Caenorhabditis elegans: one gene and its partners. The protein of the gene in region 2 interacts with the protein of the main gene of each other region in a pairwise test. Each region holds a gene or a part of one and is shown on either strand. Other genes may lie near its edges. The genes, in order: idpb-2, rpl-3 and osgn-1.

Region 1 (3,236 bases), on a different chromosome or scaffold from region 2:
GCACAAGGATGGAGTTGTCATGGTAACCAGAAGCTAGTGTTTCAATGGGAAAGAAATGGGCGAGACTCTGGGAATGAAGAATGAGTGTTGCGACATTATTTCTAAATGGGACTAGGAATTAAAAATTGATGATTCTTGAACCGAAATTGAAAATAGAAACCTAATGTAAAATAGGGGAAAAGGGAAATATGCCATTTCTTCCAATGTAGAATAATTTTACCACACAAGCTCCCGGTTACTTTCAGGTTCTCTAGAATGAGACGAGTTATTGAAAAGTTAGTAACAAGTTTAAGCTTCTCAGATCAATCAAGAAAATTTCACTACTACAAGCAACAATTTCTGATGAGTTTTCTGATCTAATTCTGAGGATTTTTCAGCGTTTCTCAAACCAGGCATACTTTGGGGGCCGGTAAATTCCAAGGCTTTGTATGGACAACAACGTTGTTGAACTTTGTCTCTACTCGTTTTTTATCTAATTCTATGTATATAACATTTTTTTGGTATTTGCGTTAATCAAGAGAGAATCAACTATTTATTTCTCTGAAGTGAGAATCACAGAATTCAAATTAAATTAATTAAATTAGTTTAACAAACGCATCGCTCAGTTGATCACGTCTTTCTTCTCTTCAACCGTAGCATCATTGACAGGAGCCAATGCGTTCATAACTGAAGCTTCTACAGCGGATCCCTTCACGACTTTGGCGATTCCTTCGATTTTGTTAGCCAAAGCAATACGGAGATTCTGAAGAGAACGACGTTTACGTCCTCCACCTCCGCATCCACAACATCCACATCCACATCCACATCCACAACAACATGGACGGCAGCAAGTACAACATCTTGTACAACAGCAAGTACGGCAACATGTACAGCAACGGCGGCAACAGCAGCAGCATCTGAAAATTTTAAATTTTAAATTACAACGGCAGATGTGCCTAAAAGATACTGTTCTTTTAAGAAAGATGTTGCTACACTAAAATTTGAACTAAAATTTGCTACATCATTCTGAAAATGCTGAAGATGCAGACGAGTCTGAAAACGTAACGACAAAGTTTAAAACTTTGAGATTTAAAGGATTAAAGATCTTTCAAATAGTGAATGTAACATTTCTGGAATTATCAATTAAAAAAGTAGAAGTGTCGAATTCTGAACTTACTTTGGTCTACAACAGCAACATCCGCATCCTCCTCCACCTCCTCCACCACATCCGCAGCATCCGCATCCGCATCCACAGCAACCACATCCTCCTTGTCTTTTAACTCTGGATGATCCTAATGTATCAATTGATGTTTCAGATGATGAAGTGGTTGAAGCAGATGATGTTATTAATGCTACTTCTTTTGAGGACACTGGTAGTACTGCTGATTGAACCTGCAAGGATCTTCGAATTCTACACAAGTCCCCTGAAACGTTGATACCTGAGAAATTGCGATTATTGCCAGAATGGCGAAGGTGGAGCAGACGAGCTTGTTCATGTTAAGTTCGAGTGTATCATTGAACCATTCATGCTTTCTTTTATATCACTCAAATATTTACGTAAGTATGCCTGCGGTTGCGCGGTGCGTAGTGCATTTGACACTTTTCCGGAAGCAAAACTCAACCCTTCCGTATACCCTCGAGAAATCGCGTTGGACTTTGAGGTTTATGGTACAATCACAGAAAAAAAGAAGAGGTAATCGTAATAAGATAGATAGAGAAACGGAAAATTGAGATAATATAATAAATTAATGAATGACTGGAGTAGCTTGATGAGTTGATAGATGACTCTGTAGATCGTTTTTTCGTGCAAAGCTAGCATCACACCGATGGCAGGCATATGGTCGAGTATGAGTTCTGACATGAGCATTCAGAGCCTGAAAGAGCATAGACTTGAATAGACTTGAAGGGTGTTTTTGGCTTGAAAAATCAATATTAATGAAACCAATAATTCTCAAACATTTATAACGTTTGGTAATCTAGTGGCAATCTAGAGCTGCATCTTCAAGTTAAAAGAGTTCAAAGGTTCCTTTGAATCTTGCTACGTTTTTTGAAAGGTTTTTACCACTGATACAAAATCTCGTCTCGACACGTCCGATGGATGACGGAGTACTGTAGCTCCTATGTAAACGAACGGAAAACATTGAAACAACAATGAAGAAATGTGGACTACAGTACTCCATAAATCTAATTTTTTTAAATTTTAAATTCGAGCGCGTGGTCCTGCCTTCAATAAAAAGATTGAAATGACCACCTTTGTGCACTTGTATCCTGGATGAGTGCAATTCTCTACGGGACATTTATGCATCATCTGCATATGAACCATCTGAACATGCCTCCGAAGTCCACCTCGCCTTCCAAATTGTGTGTGACAGTACACACATTTCCAAACCCTCTGGTCTTGGGGACTGAAACGCCAGAGTATACATTTATAAACACAAAAGTTATAGCTAACAAATTAAATTCTTCAAAAATAGGCAAACCTGTGATAAATTGCCTTGTGCTCACAAAGCTGAAATGGGGTCCGCTCGTCGCTGTTGCATTCATCGCAAATGTACTGAAATATGAAGGAACTGATGGTGTTCAGGAAAAGAACATGATAGATACAATTGAAAAAAAGGTTCTCAAAGTAATTGCTAACAGAAGAATATACCAAAAAATGATAGAACAGGAGAAAGAGAGATAAGCTTCCGCTTACTGTTCCGCCAGCGGGGAGCAATCCATCGTATGTTGGAAACCTGACAGATGACCGTTGAGCTTTTGTGTAGACCTTCAATATATTTTTCATGAACATACACTGATAAAATATGTGTAAAACAATTGACTATTGGGATTACTGTAAGTTTGTAGTCTTTTGTTGAAAGTTTTCAATTTCAATAAATGTTTGTGAGTCTAATATTTAAATATAATATATCTTATTAAATTGAAATATTTACAAGAGCTAAACTCAGAGTAATCGATGGAAAAAGTATTACATACAATACTAATAGGGGATATACAATATCTTAGAACTGTCAGGAAAATTAGATTAATATTCATATATAGAATAGCTCATATCAAAACCTATCAGTTACCTTTTCTGATTGTTGATTGTTGTTCTCCACTTTGGAAGTGAAATCTGGTTTGTCCGATAAACAAATCTGAGCCATGAGAAGACTCTTGCGAACTTTGATTCTTTGAATACTCTGTTCAAGGTTTGAAGATTTCTTTCCAAAATCTATTTTGGGACTGCCAAATGACATAGTTGAGGTCATACCTGA
Region 2 (4,275 bases):
GAAGGTGTGCCGACTTATCCGACTCCTTCTAGAATGTGGGATGTCACTGATAAGTATGGTGTGACCAAGCTGTATACCTCACCAACAGCCGCAAGAGCTCTTATGGCTCTCGGAAATCAGTGGCTTGAAAGGTAATAATTATTCAAAAATAATTGTTCAGCATCTTTATTTTTAATTTTCAGCTCTTCTCGCAAAACTCTCAAGGTTATCGGAACAGTTGGAGAGCCCATCAATCCTGCTGCATGGATGTGGTTGTACAAGCAAGTTGGACTTTCCAATGTATCCATTGTGGATACTTACTGGCAAACTGAAACTGGAGGACACATGATCACATGCCTTCCAGGAGCAACTCCAATGAAGCCAGGAGCAGCTGCAATGCCATTCTTCGGAGCATCTCCAGTTCTTTTGGATGCTGAAGGTCGTGTTATTGAAGGTCCGGGAGAAGGATCACTATGCTTTGATCGTGCCTGGCCTGGAATGATGCGTGGAATCTATGGAGATGAGCAACGCTTTGTCAAGACCTATTTGGCTCCATTCAATGGATACTATTTCACTGGAGATGGTGCCAGACGTGATGAAGATGGATACTTGTGGATAACTGGACGTGTTGATGATTTGATGAATGTCAGTGGTCATCTTCTGTCTACTGCTGAAATTGAATCAGCTCTTGTGGCTCATGAGAAAGTTGCTGAAGCTGCCGTTGTTGCTGCTCCACATGACATCAAGGGATCCTTCCCATACGCATTCGTCACTTTGAATGTTGGAGAGAGAATCAATGAAAAGCTTGTGGCTGAGCTCAAGAAACTAGTTCGCGAGAAAATTGGTGCATTGGCTGTTCCAGATGTTATCCAAGAAGCTCCAGGACTTCCAAAAACTCGTTCCGGCAAGGTTACCAGAAGAATCTTGAGAAAGATTGCTGAAGGATCCGAAAGTGGAATCGGTGATACTACTACTCTAGTCGACGAATCTGTCATCAAACAACTAATCTCTGGACGTTCTGCACGTGCATAAACGAACTTGAACAATTGTAAATCAATTCAATTCTTACTATTAATGTTACTTTTTCTGTATTACTTCTCTTTTCCCCCTCTATCGTTGTAATTTCTGCAGAATCAATGCAAGATCTAAACTTTTAACCCCAACATGACCTTCTTTGTAATCAAGATGCATTCCCTGATTGACTCCTGTGTAGAATTAAATTCCAGTGTTGTAATTTCCCCCAGTAATTTATTGAACCCTGAATTCGAAATTAGAAAACAAGTAAATGATTCAGAACTGATTAATTGTTTTAACTCAATTTCAGATTTTCAGATAACAATTTTGGCTTATTCGGATAATTAAAACACGAAACATGAAATTACAAGAAGAAGATTAAATACTTACATGGAGAAATGCATTTCATATGCCCAGTGAATCTGATGTTTAGCTCAATTTTTATGAATTATGATAAAAACCACGAAAGTTCAATACAAAATAATATTTGATTTAACTTGCATTGCAAAATTACAGGAAAATGAATTATTTTAAGCATAAAGTGTGTTGTTTTGATAGGCCGTTTGAACAAAGCAAATCGATTTTCTTGATTATATAATGATGCTTCAAAATAAAACTTGATTTACATGAATATTTCCCGTTAAAAAACAATGTATTTAAAAACATTATTATTTGCAGAATCTCTCCAACTGCGAAAGAAATCGAATTCAAACAACCGCGCTTGTCGTACACTTGTACACTCCGCCGCCACAGCTACGGTAAAAGCGTGTTTTGCGACGCACAAGTGTGCGCCGAGTGTGTGGGTCTCCCAACGCCTTTCACTGGCCTAAACTTCATTTCAATTTGTTTTAGCCTAAAATTTTCATGTTTTTTTCGAATAAATTTTGTTTTTTTACGTGCAATTCTAAATTTAAAATGTTCAAATTAGTATCTGTCTAGAAAAGTAGTTATTTAAAAAATTTTTTAACCGAAAACGCAATTTTTATTCTTTGTTCGCTCATGCTTTTTCTATAATTTTTTCGTAAAATTAATATTTTTCAGGGTACAACAATGTCTCACCGAAAGTTTTCGGCCCCGAGACATGGACACATGGGATTCACCCCAAAGAAGCGCTCCCGCACTTACCGTGGAAGAATCAAGGCTTTCCCAAAGGATGACAAGAGCAAGCCAATCCATTTGACCGCTTTCCTCGGATACAAGGCCGGTATGACCCATATCGTCCGTGATGTCGATAAGCCAGGATCAAAGGTTAACAAGAAGGAGGTTGTCGAAGCCGTCACCATCGTCGAGACCCCACCAATGGTTATTGCTGGAGTTACCGGATACGTCGACACCCCACAAGGACCACGTGCTCTTACCACCATCTGGGCCGAGCACTTGTCCGAGGAAGCTCGTCGTCGCTTCTACAGCAACTGGTTAGTTTATTTTTCAACTATTTCGTTTTTTGTATTCAGTGTTATGGTGCGTTTTTGGTGTCATTTGGTGGTTTCGTGATTACAAGTCTGTATTTGCAGTCGCGTTTCTAAGTCGGTTGCCTTCCGCTGTACTTATGTACATGATGGTAAACGAACTGAGTGGCTAAAGCGTCCTGTACGCTGAAAGGCATTTTGTTCGTAATCGTAGAAACTACAGGGCTAAATCCAAGAAGAAGGCTTTCACCAAGTACGCCAAGAAGTGGCAAGATGAGGATGGAAAGAAGCTCATCGAGGCTGATTTCGCCAAGCTGAAGAAGTACTGCTCTTCTATCCGTGTGATCGCTCACACTCAGGTAATATTTATATTTAGTTTGTTTGTATTCTTAAGTTATATTTTGCAGATGAAGATCCTTCGCCGTCGCCAAAAGAAGGCTCACCTCGTCGAAATCCAAGTCAACGGAGGAACCATCGAGCAGAAGGTCGACTGGGCTCGCGAGCATCTCGAGAAACAAGTCCAGGTTGATACCGTCTTCGCTCAGGATGAGATGATTGACACCATCGGAGTTACCAGAGGTCACGGATTCAAGGGAGTCACCAGCAGATGGCACACCAAGAAGCTTCCTCGCAAGACGCACAAGGGTCTCCGCAAGGTCGCCTGTATTGGAGCTTGGCATCCATCTCGTGTCGCCTTCACTGTCGCTCGTGCTGGACAAAAGGGATTCCATCACCGTACCATCATCAACAACAAGATCTACCGTATTGGAAAGTCTGCTCTCACTGAGGAAGGAAAGAACAACGGATCCACCGAGTTCGATCTTACCCAGAAGACCATCACCCCAATGGTTCGTTTTATTTTTTTCACCGTTCTATGAAGAAAAAGTCTGCAATTCGTACTCTGTATGGCGACTATATTTTATCTGAGAACATCGGGCGTTGTAATCAATTTTCATGAATTTTTAATAATTGTTTTGTTTTAGGGAGGATTCCCAAGATACGGTATCGTCAACCAGGACTACATCATGCTTCGTGGAGCCGTTCTCGGACCAAAGAAGCGTCTTATCACCCTCCGCAAGTCGCTCATCACCCAAACCAAGAGAGTCGCCCACGAGAAGATCAACCTCAAGTGGATCGACACCAGTTCCAAGACCGGACACGGTCGCTTCCAAACCACAGCCGAGAAGCGTGCTTTCATGGGAAAACTCAAGAGAGATTTCCTTGCCGAGGCCGAAGCTAAGGCTTAAATTTGTTTATTCAAATAAATTGTTATTGTTATCAAATGTTTCTTCACTGTTCACATTTTGAATACACTTTGAGTATGCTTTTTTGTTGAATCTGAAGGACTATGCTGCTTGTATTGAAGAATAATAATCCGAAACATTCATTAGGTATAACATTAGAAATCTGGAAGGGTGTTAGACCCGGTAATTGTTAAGATAAAAAGTTCAATTTAAAGAGGGAGTTAAAGGGTTCGAATTTGATGGGTTCCTGAGTTGGGGGTTGATCGACTATTACACGTTGCAGGAAATAAAACAGAAAAAGTGAAACGAATGAAACAGATGGAGATCGGAATATATAAACAGAAAGATTATAAGAAAGTGAAGTTTCAGAGTTTTCTTTTTGGTTTCATAAAGACATCAATCACATAATTTATAGAGATTATTACAATTATTATTATTATTTGCAGAAAACGGCAGGGCATTGGGTAAATGAGGAAGAGAGAGAGACAGTTGAAATCATAGATTCTACGCTTTGAATTTCCAGTTTTTTGTGGAACACTTTTTTTGAGGTTTTGACTGATTTAAAATGAGGGTCAAATACATTAAAACTTTCGTGTGGGATGATTGAAAGACATTGGGAGTTTGATATT
Region 3 (4,751 bases), on a different chromosome or scaffold from region 2:
TCCCATAAATTTTATAAATAAGTTTTTTTTCGTTAAAAACACAAAACTCAAGAAATTCGAAAAAAAAATCCCATTTTTCATAAAAATTTCTTACTGTTGTCATTTTTTCCAGAAAAAAACGATTTAAATTTCTTACTGTTGTCATTTTTTCCAGAAAAAAACGATTTTTCCGTATGAAAATCAAGCCCCGCCTCATTATTGGATCATCGGATCCTTATCCTCTTTCGGTAAAAAAGTAATAAATCATTGCAGTCGACACTGGTGGAATTCGCGGAAAAAATGATAAGAAATCTCATCAACCACACCGAATCCTTCTCAGTTCGTCTTCCTAATCCCTCTGGTGGTAAGCAGCTTTTTTTTTGGATTTTTGGAAGATTTTTCAGTAGAAAAAACTAAAAATTTCGCTGAAATCGTGAATTTTTAGCTGTGAATCTCCAGAATCAAGCTCACGGCGAGCTCTCAAAGATCCTGAAATAACACTGTAACGAAGCATTGAAGGGCCAATTTTCCAAATTCACTTTGGTCTCCGCGGATAAATTTTTTACAGAAAACTCATCAACTAAAAAGTTGTTGATCTTTTTGTAAAGAACAAGTTTGTAGTTGAAAGTTTTTATCAAAAAATTTTTGTTTCAGATAGAAGCGCGTAAAGTGCGGTTACTGTTGTTGTTATTTTTATGCAGTTATTGCTATTCTAATGGTTTTATCTGAAACAAATTTTTTTTTGCTAAAATCTTTCAACTACAAACTTGTTTTTTACAAAAAGATTAACAACTTGTCAGTTGATGACTTTTCTGTAAAAAATTTATCCACGGAGATATGAGCTACCAAACTGAATTAGGAAAATTGCTTGTTTAGATCGTTACAACGCTTCGTTACAGTGCTATTCTAAGATCTTTGAGAGCTCGCCGTGAGCTTGATTCTGGAGATTCGTAGCTAAAAATTCACACGTAACCGTTTTAAGACATGGGCTATCAAATGGCATAGGTCCCATATGCAAGTCCAATGGGCACCTTCTGACGGTTCCCTAGTTAGAATTTCCAGACAATTTTTAGCCATAAATTCTGCATTTTTTGCTCTATTTTCAGTGATTTTTTCAGATTTTTTCAATCAAAATTCGAAGCAATTTTATCTTAATTTTTTCCAGAATTTTCAGCCAAATCTCATATATTTCGGATAATTTTCAGTTGATATTCAGCCAAATGTAACCTTTTTTCTTCAAATTTTCAGCCGACTTTCATCCAAAATTCCACTATTTTTCTGAAATATTAAGCAAAATCTTAACCAAATTTTAAGCCAATACACAAATTTTGTACACAAATTTTTAGTCAAATTTTTCCGATTTGTGCCGATTTTCAGCCATATTTTAACGTTTTTTTCTCGAATTTTTAGCCAATTTTTCTCACATTTTTGGTAGATTTTCAGTGAGTTTTTAGCCAAAATTCAGCGTTTTTTTTCCACATTTTATTCGAAATTTGCAATATTTCCCACAAATTTTCTGCCGATTTTCGGTCAAAATTCAGCTATTTTTCTCGAATATTTAAACTAATTTATTGCCAAATTTTCCCCAATTTTCCAGGTTCCCTCAAAACCACCCCGGTGACGGCATTCCAATTGTGGTACAACTCATTTTCTCGAAGATTCCAGGCAAATTCATATTTCTGGAGATCTCTGAATAATGCCTAAAAGCCGCGGCAAGAAAAACAAATTATGAGGTAAGGAATTGAAAACTTTTGTATTTTTTGTGTAATTTTATGCGATTATTACTATATCCTTGTTCCAACCAATCAATAAAGTAATCTCAAATCATTTAAAAAATTTTCTGAATTTTTTTCGAATTTTCAAGAACAAGTTGACAACTGTACATCCAATTAATTTTTTTTTGAAAAATTTCATGTTTTCTAGTTTTCTTTAAAAAACTCTTTTTCAACTTGAAATTTAGCTGAAAATTCGATTTTATTTTTTGTTTGTCTAAAATTTCATTTTCTGGAAAAACGGAAAATTGCCAAAAACAAGTTGAAAAAAAAAGTAAAAATTGTGATTTTCAGCGATTTCTAAGCTAAAAATTCGAACTTTCGGAAAATTCTCAGATTTTCACCTTTTTCAAGAGAAATTTTCGAAATTTCAGTTTTTTGGTTAAATTTTGCAAGTGGCCTAAACAATCCTAGGCCATCCCTTATGAATTCGAAATATTCTGCAATTTGAAGCTAAATTTGAATTTTTCCGAAAAAAAAGAAACCGTGGCTTAGAAATTTCTAGGCCACCCGCCAGAAAACAATGAAAATTTCAAATTTTTGAGTAATTTTCGGGAAAATTGATTCAAAAACCAAGAATTTCAGTGAAAATCAGCAAAAAAAATTGTAGTTTTAGCTCAAAAATTCCAATTTTCGCTGAGACCATAGAAAATTGCATGTTTTGCAATATTTCAGCGAAAAACCTCCGAATTCGCAAAAAATTCGCAATTTTCTGCAATTTTCTGCAATTTTTGCTACAAAAACCCGAAATTTTAGCGCAAAAATTATCATTTTTCTTTATTTTCCCGCAATTTTAGGCCAAAACTCGCCAGAATCGTTCCGTTTTTCTCTGCGCTCTCCACGCGGGGTCTGATCTCTTGTCGCACGCTACTCATTCTTCTTTTTCTCCTTTTCTTCTGGTTTTTTCCTATTTTTTCCTGGTTTTTCCTCCTTAGAGATCTCTGAAATTGGGAGTTCAAGCGGCTCGCCGAGCATGAAAATTTGAAGAAAAAATCAGTTTACTAAGAAAGATTAAAATTATATTTAGTTTCCTATCTTTAACATGCTTGATTTTTGAGTCAATTTCTTCGAAAATTAGTCAAAAATTTGAAATTTGCATTGTTTTCTGATCGGTGGCCTAGAAATATCTAGGTCACGGTTTCTTTTTTTGCGAAAAATTCAAAATTTAGCCTAAAATGGCAGAACATTTTGAATTTATAAGGCCTAGGAATTTTTAGGACATTTTAAATTTTCATCCTAAATCCCAATTTTTACTCCAAAAATATTTCAAAACTTCGATTTTCCCGCCGCTGTTTTCTTGGTGCTGGCCTAAGAATTTCTCGGATTTCTAGGCCACCAGTATTTTTAGGGCAAAATTTAAAAAATTTAAGGTTTGAAGCAATATTTCGATATTCAAAAGAGAACATTTCAAAAAAATCCAAATAATCTGGAAATCGGTAGAAAATACGATTTTTCTGCTGAAAATTCCATTTTTCAGTGGGTTTTCAGCTCAAAATTACTTAAAAATCCGATCTTTCTGCTTAAAATTTAATTTTTAAGGTAGGTTTTCATCTTAAAAGTTACCTGAAAATTGAATTATTTTTGTTGAAAATACCATTTTCAGTGGACTTTTCACCTGAAAACTGCCTAAAGATCCGATTTTTATGTCAAAAAAGTCAGTTTTCCCCCGTTTTCCACATAAAAATCGCTCGAAATCTGATTTTTCTGCCAAAAATAGCACTTTTTTGCCATAAAATGTCTCAAAAACACTCTTGATTTTTGTTCGAGTGGACGAACACAGTGTAGAGAGAAAAAGTAAATATTTTCGCGAAAATTCCCTCTTTTTCGTCTGCAAATAGACAAAACACGCCGTTTTGAACCGTTTTTTGCGATTTTTCATCAAATATTTACTTCACGTGGTTTCGAGTGGATCAATCAACAAAACATGATTTTTGTGTTTTTTCCCACAAAAAATCAACAATTTTGACCTATTTTTTGGAAAAAACGGTCAGTGGCCTGGCTTTTTGAGGTGGTGGCTTGGAATTATTTTTCTAGGCCACCAAGTTGTAACTCCAATTTTTTGCTGATTTTCGTTTTATATTGACCAAAAATCTTGCACATGGCCTAGTTTTTGAACTGGATTAGGTTTAGGCTTAGATTTAGGATTAGGCTTAGGCTGAGGCTGAGGCTTAAGCTTGCTCGCTTAAGTCTCAGGTTTCAATTTTTTCTCGGCCACCGAGTTTTTTTTGTGAATTTTCAGTTTTTTTTTTAACTTTTTCTTTCTCAGAAATGGCGCCAAAAATCTTCGAAACAAGTAGGTTGTTGAGCTTCGAACTTTTTCGTCGAAAAAAAGTTTCGGAAATAGAGAAAAAACGAGAGATATGTGAGTATTTGTCATCATTTTGTCACTGTTTGTTTCAAGTACAAAAAGTTGAGTTATCGAGTCAGAGATCTGTTTCAAAATTTTAAGAAAAATAGCGGAAAAATCGGAGGAATTTGAAAAATTTCAGTGAAAAATCGAATTTCCCGCGGTCAGCAGGCCTAAGAAATTTTCAATTTCCGGTGAAAAAAAAAGAAAGAAAAAGTATTTTTCCCGCATTCCGCAGCCGGTTTTTAAGAGGATTGTAGTCTACTTTTCGATCCGATTATAGATTATATGAACTCTTGCTGGAAATGCAATTTTTCCGTCGGAAATTGAAGAATTTCACGTGTGTTTTTGAGCGGGAAATTGGATTTTTCGGCAACTCTGGCAATTTGGAGTAATGCGGCAGCGATTTTCACGGCGATCTCGGCATTTTTCTCAGCAACTTTGTACCTATCCAGTTTCCGGCAATTCTGGCGATTTTCTACAATTTGGCAATTCAATTTCGGCAATTCGGCCATTTCGGCCATTTTTTGGCCATTTCAGCAATTTTCCGTAGAACGTAGAACGCTTTCCGTAAGTTGGTAACTAACATTGTAAGGATTGTTTCCTAACTTTAAAATATGGCAATCTGAAAAATTGAGATCTTAAATTTTCCA

Evidence for each region.
Region 1: the proteins of rpl-3 (region 2) and idpb-2 interact in a two-hybrid assay, tested with the Caenorhabditis elegans proteins (one large-scale study listed by BioGRID).
Region 3: the proteins of rpl-3 (region 2) and osgn-1 interact in a two-hybrid assay, tested with the Caenorhabditis elegans proteins (one large-scale study listed by BioGRID).

The regions. Positions count from the first base shown.
Region 1 is NC_003280.10:5,068,134-5,071,369, forward strand, and holds idpb-2 (Intrinsically Disordered Protein, class B), read right to left. Parts: upstream 1,493-3,236; 5' UTR 1,476-1,492; coding exon 1,419-1,475; exon of another isoform or gene 1,372-1,418; coding exon 1,157-1,371; intron 897-1,156; coding exon 602-896; 3' UTR 515-601; downstream 1-514. Other genes in the region: C27A2.7 (C2H2-type domain-containing protein), read right to left, coding at 1,725-1,853, 2,231-2,384, 2,460-2,533, 2,675-2,746, 3,051-3,230.
Region 2 is NC_003281.10:3,865,820-3,870,094, forward strand, and holds rpl-3 (Large ribosomal subunit protein uL3), read left to right. Parts: upstream 1-2,034; 5' UTR 2,035-2,043; coding exon 2,044-2,408; exon of another isoform or gene 2,409-2,410; intron 2,411-2,509; exon of another isoform or gene 2,510-2,625; coding exon 2,626-2,761; exon of another isoform or gene 2,762-2,763; intron 2,764-2,809; coding exon 2,810-3,250; exon of another isoform or gene 3,251-3,252; intron 3,253-3,385; coding exon 3,386-3,649; 3' UTR 3,650-3,768; downstream 3,769-4,275. Other genes in the region: acs-19 (Acetyl-coenzyme A synthetase), read left to right, coding at 1-131, 183-1,011. UniProt on the Caenorhabditis elegans protein: The L3 protein is a component of the large subunit of cytoplasmic ribosomes.
Region 3 is NC_003282.8:4,205,681-4,210,431, forward strand, and holds the start of osgn-1 (FAD/NAD(P)-binding domain-containing protein), read left to right. Parts: upstream 1-1,707; coding exon 1,708-1,712; intron 1,713-4,751.